Linked DNA regions of Astyanax mexicanus. The protein of the gene in region 2 interacts with the protein of the main gene of each other region in a pairwise test. Links are inferred from orthologs where the notes say so. Each region holds a gene or a part of one and is shown on either strand. Other genes may lie near its edges.

Region 1 (8,021 bases), on a different chromosome or scaffold from region 2:
AATGAGCAGATAGCTGAGGCACCTGCAAACCATGCCACATCAATAACATACAATCAGTGACAGTTACCACAGACAATCTTTAAAAAAAAGAAGAGAAACTCCACTGCAATAATACACACATTTAAAATAAAAACCAATGGCCAAACATTGAGTGCGTGACAATCAACTATACGCTACAGATGCAGCAGACAGACAGAGATCAGATCACGCAGGTCAACATACAGACAGTGGGCTGGATCTGGTCCGATCAAGGTTCTAATCTGCATGAACACACAGACAGCCATTTAGCTAGATGTGGGAAAACACAGTCAAACCTAACAGCAGAACCAATTTAAAACCTGCGAGACTTCTGAATTAGTAAGAACACTGCCTCAGTCCACTTAACGTTTAAAAGCTTTCACTGTGTTTTAATGCACAACATAATTTTTACACATTTGGTGTGTCACACCATGTGGGAATTCATTTAAAAAATACTAATTACAGTATTTCTGACTGTTGCCTCACTAACGTAGGGCTTAATGATCTACAGAAATGATATCTAGCACAATGCACACCTGCAGAGTCAAAACAAACTCTGAAACTGGTCTAGATAAAGTTAATTTGCATTGTTTTACACTATATGGACAACAGTATTACAACACTTGCTCATTTACTGTTATTTCTGAAATCAAGGGTATTAAAAATTATTATTTAATTAAAAATTAAAAATCCTGCTTTTTTGGGGAAGAGAAACTGTATCTGCTTCCCAGGGAATACAACCCCACTGCACCATAACTAAATGCTGAGAGGATTTAAACTCCTCTAGTCCATGTCTAGTATTAGGCACAGTGTCAAAAGGTTCATTTTTATCTGCTCCAGAGTGTCTGACTCTACTGCCAATTCTTTTCTACAGGGACTAGACAAGCAGCGTGTGCATTTGCACATTTTTATCGGCAATGAGAGTAATTTAAAGTAGCTGAGTGCATAGAAGGGGTGTTCACAAACATTTGGATATAGGATGTAGTGTATTATAGCTTTGACAGAGGCTGTAATTATTGTAGTTAGTCAGTCAGTGATACAGTTATGTTCTTTTTTTTTTCATTTGTCTGCTGTGTATATAGTGTAAGAATGATATTAGAGATGCACCAATGTCAATGCCGATTTTCAATATTACACATGTATTTATCTGCCAATTCCGATATATATACTTATAACTTACAGAGAGAATGGACACCCTGGTATAACTTTAAAGCTAATAAAAATAAATAAAAATGAGCTTAAAATCAATGGTAGTAGTGCAGTCAATGTAGAGAGAAAGTATCGGTTTTAAAAAAGCAATTATCGACAGATAGTGATATAATTCTGATATCATCATGCATCTCTAGATGTTATGCTTTTTTTTATTTTTAAAAAATGGAAAGATTTGGATGTGGCCCAATATCTCAAAAGACCTTGCCACTCCTGAACTAGATAGACAAACACTAAAGGATGACCAGTGATTGTAAACCTGCCCTTGAAAAGGGTTCAGTAAACAATCAGATGAGTTTAAAAGATACACACTGCAAGCAAAATATAGAAGAAATCTACATGACATCTGGACAGTGGGCCCTTTACTCCAGGGGATTCTTGGACAGGCTCAAGTCCATTTTGGAGATATTCCTGCTCATGCACCTGATTCAAATCAACCGTTCAATAAGTGTGTGTGTTCCTAGTCTAGGAAATCCCCAAACTGCACAGTTAAAGCAAGTTTACAGTTAAAGAGAGAGATGTTGTCAGAAGAGCTGTTTTAGACTACTGTATTATACTGACTATAATAAGGCACACCATCAATGAAAGTCTATTTTCTGGTCTCTTTCCATACATAAGGCACATTTTAGGTGACAATAGTAAGGAACAAGGGTGTTGCCATATAAGCAAAACATTTACTTTTAAAGTAAAATGAGCAATGGGTGTTAAACTACACAGATTTCTCTCCTGAAAACTGTTAATTTGTGTAAGTAAAGCGCTTTCATTTACTTACAGTAAGCTTAGATTTTCAGTAGTAGATTGCCAGATGACATGGCTCTCCATCACTGATTGTAGAGACTTCACACTAGACCTCAAGCAGCTTGAACTGTGTTTCTCCACTCTATTCTGGTCCCTTGATTTCCAAACGAAATGCAAAATTTACTGATGATTAGTGATGGTTTGGAGAGACATGTCATCTGCTGGTGTTGATCCACTGTGTTATATAAAGTCAGAAGTCAGTGCAGTTTTGTTTTCCAGATAAATCTTACAGCACTTCATGCTTCTCTCTGGTGTCAACTTTTATGGAGATTGCTGATTTCATTTTCCAGCAGGACTTGACACACTGCCCACACTGCCAAAAGTACCAATAGGTCTTATATAATATTCTAATTTCCTGAGAAAATGATTTTTGGGTTTTCATTGGCTGTAAGCCATAATTATCAACAATAAAAAAAAACTCTTAAAATAGGTCACTTTGTGTTCAATACATCTATATAGCATATGCGTTTCATATTTTTAACTGAATTAGTGAAATAAAGTAACTTTTTAATGATAATCAATTTACTTTATTTATTTAGATGCACTAGTTGCTACTCTGCTAGCAGTCTGGCTGCTTGTAGATGCAGCATAAACAACTCAAACACCCCAAATATTAACTCAGAAACAGCAGGTATGTGATGAAAAGTAGTTATCACTAATACTGAGTGTCAGAAGACACACAGTGGAGGACAGCTCAGAGCAGAGAGCTAATATTAGTTAGGTTAGTGAGTTGACATGGGGGCTAGCTACATTAGCCCACCTTTACCTACTTAAAAAAACACTATTTCACCAGTGTTTTAAGAAGAGTAAACACAGTACTTTTAAACCCAAAGCCCTCCAGACCTACCTTACTCTTCACCTCCACCGCGTCCAGCTCCAGCGGCCGTAAAGGCTGCGATTTATTAAAGCTGCGGTTCATTTTGATCTGAAGCTCCAAAGTTCCCAGACTGAGCCCGACCCTCGGCTCGGGGGCTCGAGGGAGAGAAGACGAGCGCCTATATCCCACAAACTCCCACTAGTTCTCGGTGTGCAGGAGCATGAAGTCCTCGGGGAGTCCGCTACACCGCAGCTCGCAAACTTTCACAGAAAAATAAAAGCGTTACAGAGCCCAAAAGCAGCGTCTCAGTCAGGGACACTCACTTTAACTTTACTGAATGACATCACCACCGTGTCTCTCCATGAACTCAGCCACAGCTCCTCCAACTGGCTTCACACCCGTACTCCGTACCCGTACTCAGAAAACGCTCCCTTTAACGTGATTGGCTATTTTCGTGGAAATATCCCGCCTTCGGCATTGTGATTGGTCCTTTGGTTCGATGGAGGCGGGGTTTTGTCTATCCATTGACGCCGCTTTAGTATTTTAGCTAAGTTTGTTTTATTTATGCATTTTTTTGCAGTAACATTATGCATACAGTTATCTATATATAAATGGTATATAAATATAAATGTGATCTCGTATGAATTATAAATAATTTATTATGACAACAAATAAATAGGTATCCAAAATTAAGAAGCAATGAAAAAAAAATAAAATAAAATAAAAACAAAAAAACAAGAAGAAACTTGATATAAAGTTAGTAAAGTTGTACTGCAAATTTGAGCAATAATACAAAAAAAATATATTAAATGTAATTGTTAATGACTAAAGTGAGACTAATATAAAAGCTACGCTTTTTGAAACTTATTTTGTTTTCGGAATATATTATTTATTTATTATTGTTTGCTCGCCTCTCCCATTGGTCGGGCGGATTGAGTTTGAACCAAGTAGCCAATGAGAGCACGGGGGGCGTGGTGTGTCCGAAAAACGGGTGGTTAAAAAAACAAAAACGTTCAATCGCAGCCGCACATACCAACAGTAGCGCCACCTGCTGACGGTAATTAAAAAATTCGGTTCTTTAAAAAAAAGAATACAAGTTTATTTTAAAGTTCATAACTGCCAAACTGGAATATACGGCGTTACTTTTTCTTAGACACATTTGTACAAAATTTGTGCTATTTTTGCGTTTAACAATAAACTACTGCAAATGTGAGAAAGTATTTATTTTTATTGAAGTAAAGGATTTTTGTGGATTAAAAGCTGTTAAATACTTTTATTAGTAGGTTAATTTCGAATTATAATAATTTAGTTTTTAAATATTGATATTGAGTGTTCACTGGAAATTAAGTATTTGTTTGTTTGTTTTTTAACTGTTTTCAAGCTCTTTTATTATATATTTCTCTTTTTCTAGTTGAGTCATGATTTTACATTTTCTTGGCTCTGATTTAAGGCTCCTCTTTCCTACCTTTGGGCTCAAACCAGACACTACCAGACACTGCTGAGCATGATCCCATTGGTCTGAGTGAAACCACCCACCACCCAGTGTGCTGTGATGTTTACACATCAGCTGTTGGATTTTACTGTGTTGGTGCGGCCAGAAGGCGCCAGCTTAACCTCCCTAACACCGTCCTCTCAGCGCCTCCAACTGTTCTACCGGTTAAACCACGGAAAATCACCAGCATCAGAATAGAGCAAAGTTCTAACAGCCGACGTTTTATGCGTTAGTTTAAGATACTTTTAATCTGAATTAATTGCTAGAAATTTAGTACACTAATGTTCCTGCTTAAATAAGAAGCAAAAGTTTGAATAAACTTGCCAAACTAAGCTCATTAGGAAATAAATCACAGTGGTGGTGTGAATAGCATGCAATGCTCTTCTGTCCCCTAGAGGGGGCTAATATTTCTCCAGATTTTACTGTTACCGACCTTCTATTTTCAATAGAAATAAACGTATTTAATATAACAGTAAGTGTAAATAAGTCAACAAACAAATATAATGGATGTTTTCATCACATTTTTTCCTATTAAGGAAGTTTTGTATATATATACATATATATGTATATATATACAGTGACGTTAAAAATTATTTGCCCCCTGCAGACTTTTTTTGTTTTTGCTTTTTTGTCATCCTGATATTTTTTTAGATTATCAAACAAACGTTAATATTAGAGAAAGATTAAAGGAAAAAAAATATCCAAATCATCTTTGGTGGCAACAACTGCAATCAAGCTTAGCCCGTAACTGACAATGAGTCTTTCACATCTCTGTGGAGGAATAGTGGCCTACTCTTCTTTACAGAATTGTTTTAATTCAGACACATTGGATGGTTTTCCAGCATGAACCACCTGTTTAAGATCATTCCACAGAATTTGACTAGGCCACTCGAAAACCTTCATTTTTTTTTTTAAAGCCATTCAGAGGTGGACTTGTTTGTGTGCTTTGGGTCATTGTCCTGCTGCAGAAGCCAAGTACGCCTAAGCTTGAGATCATGAACAGATGGCAGGACATTCTCCTTTAAGGATTAAAAAATTCAAAGAGATTTTATTGTCATTCGCATCACATGTGGTACATGAGGTGTAACGAAATTGTGATCTCAAGTTTACAACCAAGAGCTGTTGTTAAAATAGATATATAGATAAAATAAGATAACAAAATAAAAGAATACAATAAAAATAGAATAGAACATAATAGATAAATATAAATACACAAAAAAATAAAATATAGGCAGAGTAGACAGGTAGCAGCAACATGAAGTCCAGAGTGCAAGTTTTGCTATAGCAGCATGATAATGGAATTAGAGCAGTACAGGACAAAGTGTCTCAGTGCGGTTTAAAGTGACAGTGTTTGTAAACAGTATTTGTTCTTGTAAAGTGTCAGTGCAGTGTGTTTAGGATTGTCTGGTAAAACAGCAAAATTCCCCAAATTCCTGGGGATTATCAAGATTTTTTACAAATTTGAAATGGACTGTTGTTTTTTTTTTTTTTTTTTTTTTTTGCCTTGGATCTCTCCCATGGATACTATTTTCGACCAGTCTCTTTCTTATTATTGAATCATTAACACTGACCTTAACTGAGGCAAGTGAGACCCGCAGTTCTGTTTTTTTTGTGACCTCCTGGATGAGTTGTCCATGCTCTTTTGGAATAATTTCAGTCAGCCTTATAGACCAAAAAATATATGATAATTGATGACATTCTATTAAAAGATTTGTGAAATAAGACAGAGACTATGTTTACTTATATTTAAATACATTTGAAGGCAAATCTAGTCTTTGTACTTTTACTCAAGTGGAGGTCTTAAAAGAGGATATTTACTGGAGTGATATGTTTATGCACTTTTATGCACAATTGCACAATATATCAAACACAGTGATTATGTGAATATGTAAGAAAAAAACTGTGCAGTGAAAGTACAAAAAATGTGGGCCAATTTAACTATACAAGACAATTGTCACGCTGCTGGAAGATGGACAAGGACAGTGGACGGGAAAGCTATAAATGAAGACGACAGAAAAAAAGGAGTGTCATGAATTAACCAATTAAGTAATTATATAGAGAAAAATGCAATAAACTATAAACCAAAAAACAGTCTGAACTCAAATAAATATGTTCTATTTTTACATATAATTATATTTCCAAACATTAGATATGGAAAGTTCTGTTTTACTACCTGACAATAACATTTAAAGTAGGATTATTGTACAAAGCAATTGCTTTAACAAAAACTTACAATTTAGGGATAGTACCTAAACATTTTAAGTCTAATTAACTCAAGTTTTCAACAAATTATCTTTTTTTTTTAAATATGAAATTTCTAAATTATTTTTTTTTTTTCAGTCTTAGAGTGTACTTGACAATTAGTGGTATTTTAAATGAAACTCTCTTGCAGCTATTTTTTACAATTATTTTACATATAGACTCTACAAAATTGACAAGCTTATTTAAAAAAATTGAACTATTGTTTAGCAATTTTGTTTGCGGTTGTTTCCTTAAAGGACGATACTAAGTGCAACTAAAGAAAATATCTAGTATCTGTCATTATGTTTATTTCTTAAAATTAATCAAGTAGGTGTTGACTACCAGGTGAGCTACCTAATGGTCTAGTAATGAATTAAAGCATTACTGCATCAATTAACTATGTTTAATGAGATATAAAATAATGTAGTGCATCACATGTTATGCATGTAACTTGTTGCCTTGTTAGTTAACCTGTTACTGACTCTATAACAGCATACAGCAAGTTCAATACTCAAACTAATAACATAACTATTACTGTAAACTAAAACATTAAATATTATACACTACAGTATACTGTGCATTACACTACACTTGTAACTGCCCTATAACCTGCAACTGACTGCCTAATTCTCCTTTTCGATCATTAAATCTGTCTGTCTGTCTGTTTCTCTGTCTAGTGGCAGATGAGTAGTTGTACATATAGCCCCGCCCCCTACTTGCTCAGCTTCTGTAAAGAGCACTAGATGTCAGTGTTACTCCACTGAAAACAGTTATATAGTTCTTCATGCAGCTCATCTGAAGGATAGGAGCTGAAAAAACACAATAAATGCTCTGAAGTACTGTCCAGTTTAGGGTCTGACCATGACAGAAGGGATTGTCACAATATTTGTTCATGCATTTGATAATGTTTTTAATTGTCCAAAAAAATATATCTTTAATGTGGTAACTTTACATGACAAAATAAAACACTCAACTTTTAACACAAGTTAATGTATTCCAAAGATATTAAGTCTAAGCTGATTTGGAACAGTTTATTCTTTGGAAAAATAAAACTTATTTTTTTTAACTGGTCAATATAAATATAACATTCCTTTTGCGTGCTCAGCATAGTTGTTAACATTACACACTGTGTTACAATGCATTTTAAGGTTTACTCTGAATTAACACAATATTACAAATACAGTATTTAGAAGAAATGGTTAAGTAGCAACATTTTTTAAAAAAAATAAATATATTAGTTTTTATAATTTAGGCATTTCAATTGTGAATTTTATTTTCACAAAAATATCTAGCTATTTAAACATCCAAATTTTTTTTCCTGCCCACTCTGTCCATCCTGGGATAATTAGCCCTTTAGGAAAGTAACATTTGATGTTAGTGAGATCACAACCTTCATGCTGTTTTTTTTTTCAAGGGAATGAAGAAACGTACTGCATGCTCAGCAAA
Region 2 (7,847 bases):
CCCTGAAGTATTTCAGAAAAAAATTCCAGACACCCATAGTGGTAAAGGTGTGGGAGGAGAACGGCAAGTCTGGATGATATTCCAAAAAAAATCACAATACGTGCAGGACACAATAACATAGTATAGATTTTAAAACAAACTAAACATATAGTACATACCTAAAATGTCAACATTTGTGCTACTAAAACAGCACCTTCTGAAGGTTGTACCAAACACAGATACTTTTATGAAAGTTCTTTTACATTGGACTTCTTGTTCCAAACCCCCACAAAAAAAAGTGCTCACAAAGCCAGTTGTCCACGTAACGGAGAAAAAAAAAGGACTCCTCGGACCAGACCACTCTCTTCCATCAATTTGCAGTCAAATTCTGACAATCACATGTCCATTGTAGGTGATGGAGGACAAGGGGTCAGCATGGTCACTCTGATAGGTTGGCAACTATGCAGCTCCATTTACACAACAGGGGGTACTGCACTGAGTGATATTTTCCTCCCGTAACCATCACTAAACAGAAGCACTATTTCCCCTCATCAACATTAATGCTTTCATCTGAGAGGGGGCAGAATCTGATTGTCTTTTCTGGGAAATACTTTGGTTCAGCTTCAGTACTGCATTACTGTAGATCACTCCACTAACTCTGGATATGCAGTGTTTAATTTTGCACCAAAAGATCAAACCAGAAAAGAGCAGAGTCTACCCCACAGTGTGTATTTACGCGGTGTCAATGTGTGACAGGAGCAGAGCAGAGCTCACAGTGCTGGCCTTCACAGTGAATACTGCTTTTTACAGTATAAAAACTACAGCATTATTCTTAGGGAAGTCCAATTATGTTTTACTGCCTTATGTGCCAGTATGACTCTTAACACTGAGCATCATCTAATATCTATTTGATCCCAGTACCCTAATATTTTTAATAAGTTTTATCCAATTTCATCCAATATGAGTATATTAACGCTGAGTAGAGACTAATACCAATTACATCTGTGTACAGTAGTTTTGAGTATTTTGCAATAAAGATCCATCTACCTAAATGCTGAATATCAGACAATATTTGAGTCGTTTACTGCTAAGTATGAATTATTTCCAGTTCTATCCAAGCACCTTATTGCTAAGTATTATCTGACACCAATCTGATTTCAGTATCTTCAGTTGTGTATCAGCTGATACGGTCTTGAGTACCATAAAGCTAATGGCTGATACAAACCCTACCAATTCATACCTCAACGCTGAGTATCAACTGATGTCGGCCAGATTAGGGTACAGTAAAGATGGGCATCAGACAATACCAATCTGATCTGAGTTCCTTAATGCAGAGCATCAGCTTGAATCAGGGAGTACCTTATTGCAAAATATTGGTCAAACCAATCCAATCCAATTAGAGTATCTTAATGCTCCGTGTCAGGTGATACTGAGACAGGCTCCTTACAACAAAACAGAAGACAATACAAATCCGATCTACATAACGATCCTCGTATTGCAATGATGTGTATCGACTAACACTAATCCTAACACCAATCCTTAATGCTGAGTACTGGCTGAATCTGTCATAAGCATGGGTGTTGGCAGATTACCTTAAAGGCGAGTTTCCACTGTTACTAATCGAACACCATATAACTGAGTATAAACTGCTTTGATCTTAGCTATGAATCCTGTACCATTACGCTGAATATCAGCCAATGCCAATTTGATCTCTATAGTAACATCAGCACTTTTAGGCTAAATAACCAATCTGATCTCCCTAACAATCCAAGCACTGCTATGCTGAGTATCAAAGGATAGCAATCTGTTCACCTTAAATGATTTGAGAACCGGCTGATACCAATCCAAGTACCTCAGTGCTGATACTAGTGCTGGGCGGTATGACCAAAAATGTATATCACAGTATTTTTCAAGATAATGACAGTTCCACAGTATATTGTGGCATTTTTATTATTTTATTTATTTATTTTTGCATGACTAGGCTTTGATATAGGTTTGTGATTTATATGGCTGGATATTGTTTTAAAATTTTAGTACCAACAAATAAATTCAGTCACTTCACTTCTTTAGAGTGAACTGGTATACCCCCCAGCACTAGCTGATACTGATCAGATAAGAGTACCGTAAGGCTGAATATCGGGCAATACCGCTCTGTTTCAAGAACATTCATTCATCGCTGATTCTGTTACAGTTACCCATCTCACTATCTTATTGATGAGACACTGATCCGATATGCCGATATAAAGATACCATTATACAAGTACCATAATGTTATGTTTCAGCCAATACTGATACAATTCTCACACCATAATACTGAGTATCGGCTGATTCTGGTCTGAGTACCTCAAAGCGGAGTATCGGCGAATACCGATCAGATCGGTATCAGATCACAGTACTCCGTGTTGAATATCAGCACAGGTATCAGACTGTACCTAAGCTTTCAATATGATAATATATTAAAATACCTTTATTGTGTGACACACTACTACTACGTACTGTGACACAGTAGGTATACATTAAAAATGGACATTTTCAAAGCATTTTAACACTGAACTAGAGACAAGTCTTAAACTGCTCTGTTCACGCGAACTTTCCGTTCCACCTTAAATAAGGCAGCAGTTATAGTCGCCTCATTTAAGGTGGAGCGGATTATTCCGTATTTAGAAATGTAGCGCTGTTTAGGGATTTCCCAAGTATTTTAGCGGCAGTGTGAGTTAATATGGGATTGAACAGTCTAGTAAACGTTTTAAAAACGTTGACAATTCATTTCAAAACGCAGAACAAGTGTTTACTTTCAGCCTAATCACAGTTCTAAACTTCTCAGGCGTATTACCACCACAGTTCTAGCCAATTTTCCAACTCTGAGACACAAACAAGGTTAAAAAGTAGTGATGAAGTTATTAATCAGGATATAAAGATTTAAATATATAGACTTAAAATAGTAAACTAACGCGAACTCACCCGCGGTAGTAGGCCTTCACCCGGACCTGGTGCTGGTTCTCCCCCGGGTGGGTCGCAGTGCTGTCCCGCACCGTCGGCATCGTGAACCGCCAGCCAGCGAAGCCCCGGAGAAAACCGCCTTATCCGGCTCGACTACGGTTTAAGCTAGTGCCGGTCAGCGGAGCCGGTCCTCCTGGGTGTGTCCGCGGAACAGAACGGAGCTGTAAACGGGCTAAAGGCAGGCTGTGAGCGGGTCTGACCGAAACACAACAGCGGCGGCCTGGTCTGGAGAACACAGCCGGAGTCTCGACTCCCCCCACAACAGACTGTGCAGTGGACTCTACTGCGGAACGAACTAACTATGGAATGTGCGGGGAGCGGAGACCAACCTAATACCAATAAACAACGAATTTAACATAAAACGTAATAAATATTACATTTAAAACATTTAAGCCATGTGTGTGAAGGATAAATATTGGGTTACTTTGTGGAATAAACACAAAACTATATTGTTCTAAAGTTTTGTCAACCCTTTTTAAGTACAATGGAAGCGCCCGGAAAGAGTCCGACTATTCCAAAAGAATGGCCGAAGAGGGGTGGACGATTCTTGATTCACAACTCTTCAAGGTAAACCAATCTTATCAGTCGGCGCTCATAATCTCAGTACTCTCTTAACTTGAACTACTGCTAAAGAAAAAAAAAATAGGACAAAAAACAAGCAGAGACTAAAAATTTTACTAAATAAAAACAAAAAAGTCTAAATCAGTTGCTAATTTGGTAAAATATCTGTTTCACTAGTCCTATTTAAAAATAATACCCCTAACAATTCTATGAAAATTGGGTACCCCTCCACCCTAGAACCTCAAAACCTCAGTACCTGATCCTAATGTCATGGTTTCAGCCTGCAGACCACCCCACCTTAAGCACACACGTTCATTTTGATTATGGGTTTCCTTTACTAGTTCAGAACCTCTGTGTCTGATCTTGTTGCTATTATTAAAGCTCCAATACCGCCATCCCCCACTTGAGGTTGGGTTAATTGTGCCCCCCTCTACACACCTGAGGTTCTCATAGATATTTTGGGCCCCAGTGTAATTCCCCTTACCTCCCACACAGCTGGTGGCGCTGCTAATTACCACATTTCTGATGACTGTTTTGTTTTTATTCTCATTTGATAGTCAGACAGCTGCGTTTAATTCACACCCGTATTCTGCCAAGCCACGCCTGCTCCTCTGTGATTAGCTGAGATTGTAGAGCCCCGCCCATTTCCTGTTCATTCTGCTGCACAACACATTACTGCAGTATAGCGTAGTGGCGAAGGAGGGCGCCAGAGAGCCAGTTCAAAATTAACTGAATGAATGGAGTTGACTTATAATTAAGATAATTAATTAGGCAGGTTTAAAATCATCCCTTAAGCAAAGATTTCTTTTCACAAACAGCCTGTCTGGACTAGAGGTCAACAATATCTCTACTTCAGTCTTACAGCTGATGTAAAAATGTTAAAAGTGAAAAATAGGTATTATAGTAGCAAACAAATAATTAATTATTTTAAAAATGATATAATATAATATATTCGTATAATAAAAATATTATAAGAAACATATACAACATTAATTACACACTCTGTAGATTTAATTTAATTTAGAGTTAATAATAACTGTTCTGTAGTAAAGGCAGCTGTAAAAGTATACAGTAAGTAAGTTATACAGCTGATTGGCCGTTCAAACTATAGCAGTTAGCCCCACACATAGACCACTGCAGTCCTGCAGTCATTTTTTGGACATGTTGTTTATGTCCATAATTGTGTTTCCGTGTCGAAGCTGAATTTCTGTATGTCCACAATGAATGAGCTCTGTATGTTCTACTCTGTGTACATTTCCCTCCTGAACATCACTGGATACTCTGAGTTTCGAGATCGTTTAAGAGTCAAAATGCAAATAATGCTAGCTTTTAGCTAATGCTACGGCGCACTGAACTGAAGTCACAGAACAGCGGCAGGGAACGTGAACAAGCTGGCAGAGATATGACACAGACTGTAGAGTGAGGTAAAAACACTTTCAGTCTGTTGATGCTGAGCAGTGTAGCCTGTGTTAGACTTTTAAAAGGCAGATAATAAGACAAAGTGAGCTTTAGGTGCTCAGTGGTTCCCAGTACTCATTCTGGAGCAGCGCTTCCCGGCGGATTTATTATTTAACTACAGTCATTGGTTTGAACTAATTACACACCTGATCCAAATAATCAACTAACTAACTGCCCTGGAAGAGGTGAGCTGAGCTGGGTGTGTTACACCCGCAAAACATTAAAACAAGCAGGACAGTGTTACTCCAGAACCACAGAGCTAAAACACTTAATGTAAAAGTTTAAAACACTTAATGTAAAAAGGCTTAATGTGGGGTTTCTTAAAGGTCTCATTCCATCATTTTTGAATTAATTAAAAATGTCTAGTTTTGGTCTCAGTATAAATGAATGCCATGTGAGCTGTTTTTTGTAAAAAAAAAAAAAAAATGCTCCAGTGAACAGGTGTTTCGCTGCTTTAGTCCCTTAGAGGAGTGGGTGGGGAGAAACGCTAGGATTTTGGCTCTTGCTCATGAATATTCATACATGCAAACATATGGCCTCTGATTGGCAGTATCATATGTTACATTACAACATGTGTAATACCTTGCTAATGCAGTCCAGCCACTTACCTATTCTTACAGTCTCTGTAAAATGCAAAATCTTTACCTTTAGGAAGTGAAAGAATTATTAATTACACCACAACAGCAAATTCGTGTTGTAAGTAAAACTGGAGAAAATAAGTGATGGAACATTGTGTATATAAAATTACATTTAATGATATATTGTATATTTACAATGTTAATAAACAGTTGTACTGATTTTCTTCATTATATCTCTTTTAGTATTAGTCTATGAGGTGTTTAATATAATCTGCGCAGCTGCATGTTTGCGTGAACACTCCCTGAACACTCTTCCCTGATGGCATGGGCATATTCCAAGATGACAATGGCATAATTCACTGAGCTGGATTTGTGAAAGAGTGGTTCAGGGGGCATGAGATCATTATTTTCACAGTTCAGACCTTATTTTTATTTATTTATTTTTTAAATGAATGCAACACAGGATTAAAATAAATCTTGTGACATTGCAGAAGCTTATTGAAACAATGCCACAGTGAATATGTGCTGCAATCAAAGCTAAAGCCGGTCCGGCAATATATTAAAGAATAAATAATAAAGTGTACACTTTTTGGGCGAGACAGTGTTACACAGTGATAATAAACATATGGAATAAGAAAAATAATATACTCAGTTAGTTATAAAATGTCACATTGATTAGATACTTAGAATAAGAGGACAATTTTGTTAAACAACAGTGTTTTAAACACAACACAAAAATATAAAATCCATTTAACTTATATCCACCACCTTTCACAGAAGAGGAACTGTGTTCTTAGTTGACAGGTAAATTTAACACATTCAACCATAAGCCGATACGTCTGCTTTTACCGTATTAAATAGGATAATCCAATACCAGAACATCCTAACCCAGAGAAACAGCTAGGTTCTGAAGCTCCAGTAAAGCGGGTGGTTTGTGAGGTTTACTCGCTACACTCACCCCAATTTGCTCAAATGCTCCATATGAATATTTGAAACTCTGGTATGTATCTATGTATGTATCTAAAGAGCATGAAACACTTTCTAAAGTGGTAATTTTCCTTTCTGAAAGTTCTCTGTAATCATGTAATTAATATGTAAATTTAGGTGTTATTACAAAACATTGGATATTTCTAAACAATACTCAACTATTTTGAGTTAGTTGAACATTTGTGGGCACATATATATTTAAACAGAGATCTTTGAGTTGAACCAATTTATAAGTCTGCTGCCATTGGCAGATTATTTTCCATTGGCTTCTGTCACAATCTATTTGCATACTGGGTGTGTCAAACAGTTTCTGACACTCAACATCAGTGTGTAGTGTTTCCCCCTGGGCTGCCTTAGAAATAAATCAAGTTTCCCTTTTGTTGTTATAACTTAATGTTTTAATTTATGCTAACTCAAGTTTTCTTTCCCCATTACTTAAAAGTTCTTACCAAATTTCCACTTTAGTTGTAATAACTTGATGTTCTAAGTTATGCTAACTTACGTTTTTATTACCCATAACTTAACTTTTTTAAGACAACCGGTTTCTTCAATTTTTTAAAGTAAATCCAACTTGTCCAGGCTTACAGTGCATGCTAACATTTTTGCTGACAAATCTACAATAAAGAAAGCATTAAAGAAGAATGGAGTTCATGGGAGGACACCACAGAGGAAGCCACCGCTGTCCAAAAAAACATTGCTGCACATTTGAAGTTTGCAAAAGAGCACCTGGATGTTCCACAGAAGAACTGGCTAAATATACTGTGGACAGATGAAACCAAAATTTAGTTGTATGGAAGGAACACCAAACACTATGTGTGGGAAAAAAAAACACCACACCATCATCAAAACCTCATCCCAACTGTGAAACATAGTGAAGGCAGCATCATGATTTAGGGCTGCTTTGCTGCATCAGGGCCTGAATGGATTGCTGTCATCAAAGGAAAAGTTAATTCTCAAGTTTACCAAGACAATTTACAGGAAACTTAAGACCATGTGTCCGCCAACTGAAGCTCAACAGAAGATAGATGATGCAACAGAATATAGAAGTAAATCAACAACCAAATGGCTTTAACAGAAAAAAAATATGCCTTCTGGAGAGTCCTGACCTCCTGAACCCAATTGAGATGCTGTGGCTCGACCTCAAGAGAGCGATTCACACCAGATATCCCAAGAGTATTGCTGAACTGAAACAGTTTAGTGAAGAGGAATGATCCAAAAGTCCTCCTGACTGTTGTGCAGGTCTGATCTGCAGCTACAGGAAATGTTTGGTTGAGGTTTTTGCTG

What was found.
Region 1: the proteins of prkci (region 2) and pard6gb interact in binary tests that used the Homo sapiens proteins (3 or more experiments, as listed by UniProt). The link is inferred for Astyanax mexicanus from reciprocal best matches to the Homo sapiens genes PRKCI and PARD6G.

What each region holds. Positions count from the first base shown.
Region 1 is NC_064410.1:36,208,241-36,216,261, forward strand, and holds the start of pard6gb (par-6 family cell polarity regulator gamma b), read right to left. Parts: upstream 3,228-8,021; 5' UTR 2,945-3,227; coding exon 2,873-2,944; intron 1-2,872. UniProt on the Homo sapiens protein: Adapter protein involved in asymmetrical cell division and cell polarization processes. May play a role in the formation of epithelial tight junctions. The PARD6-PARD3 complex links GTP-bound Rho small GTPases to atypical protein kinase C proteins.
Region 2 is NC_064415.1:44,605,725-44,613,571, forward strand, and holds the start of prkci (protein kinase C iota type), read right to left. Parts: upstream 3,249-7,847; 5' UTR 3,021-3,248; coding exon 2,941-3,020; intron 1-2,940.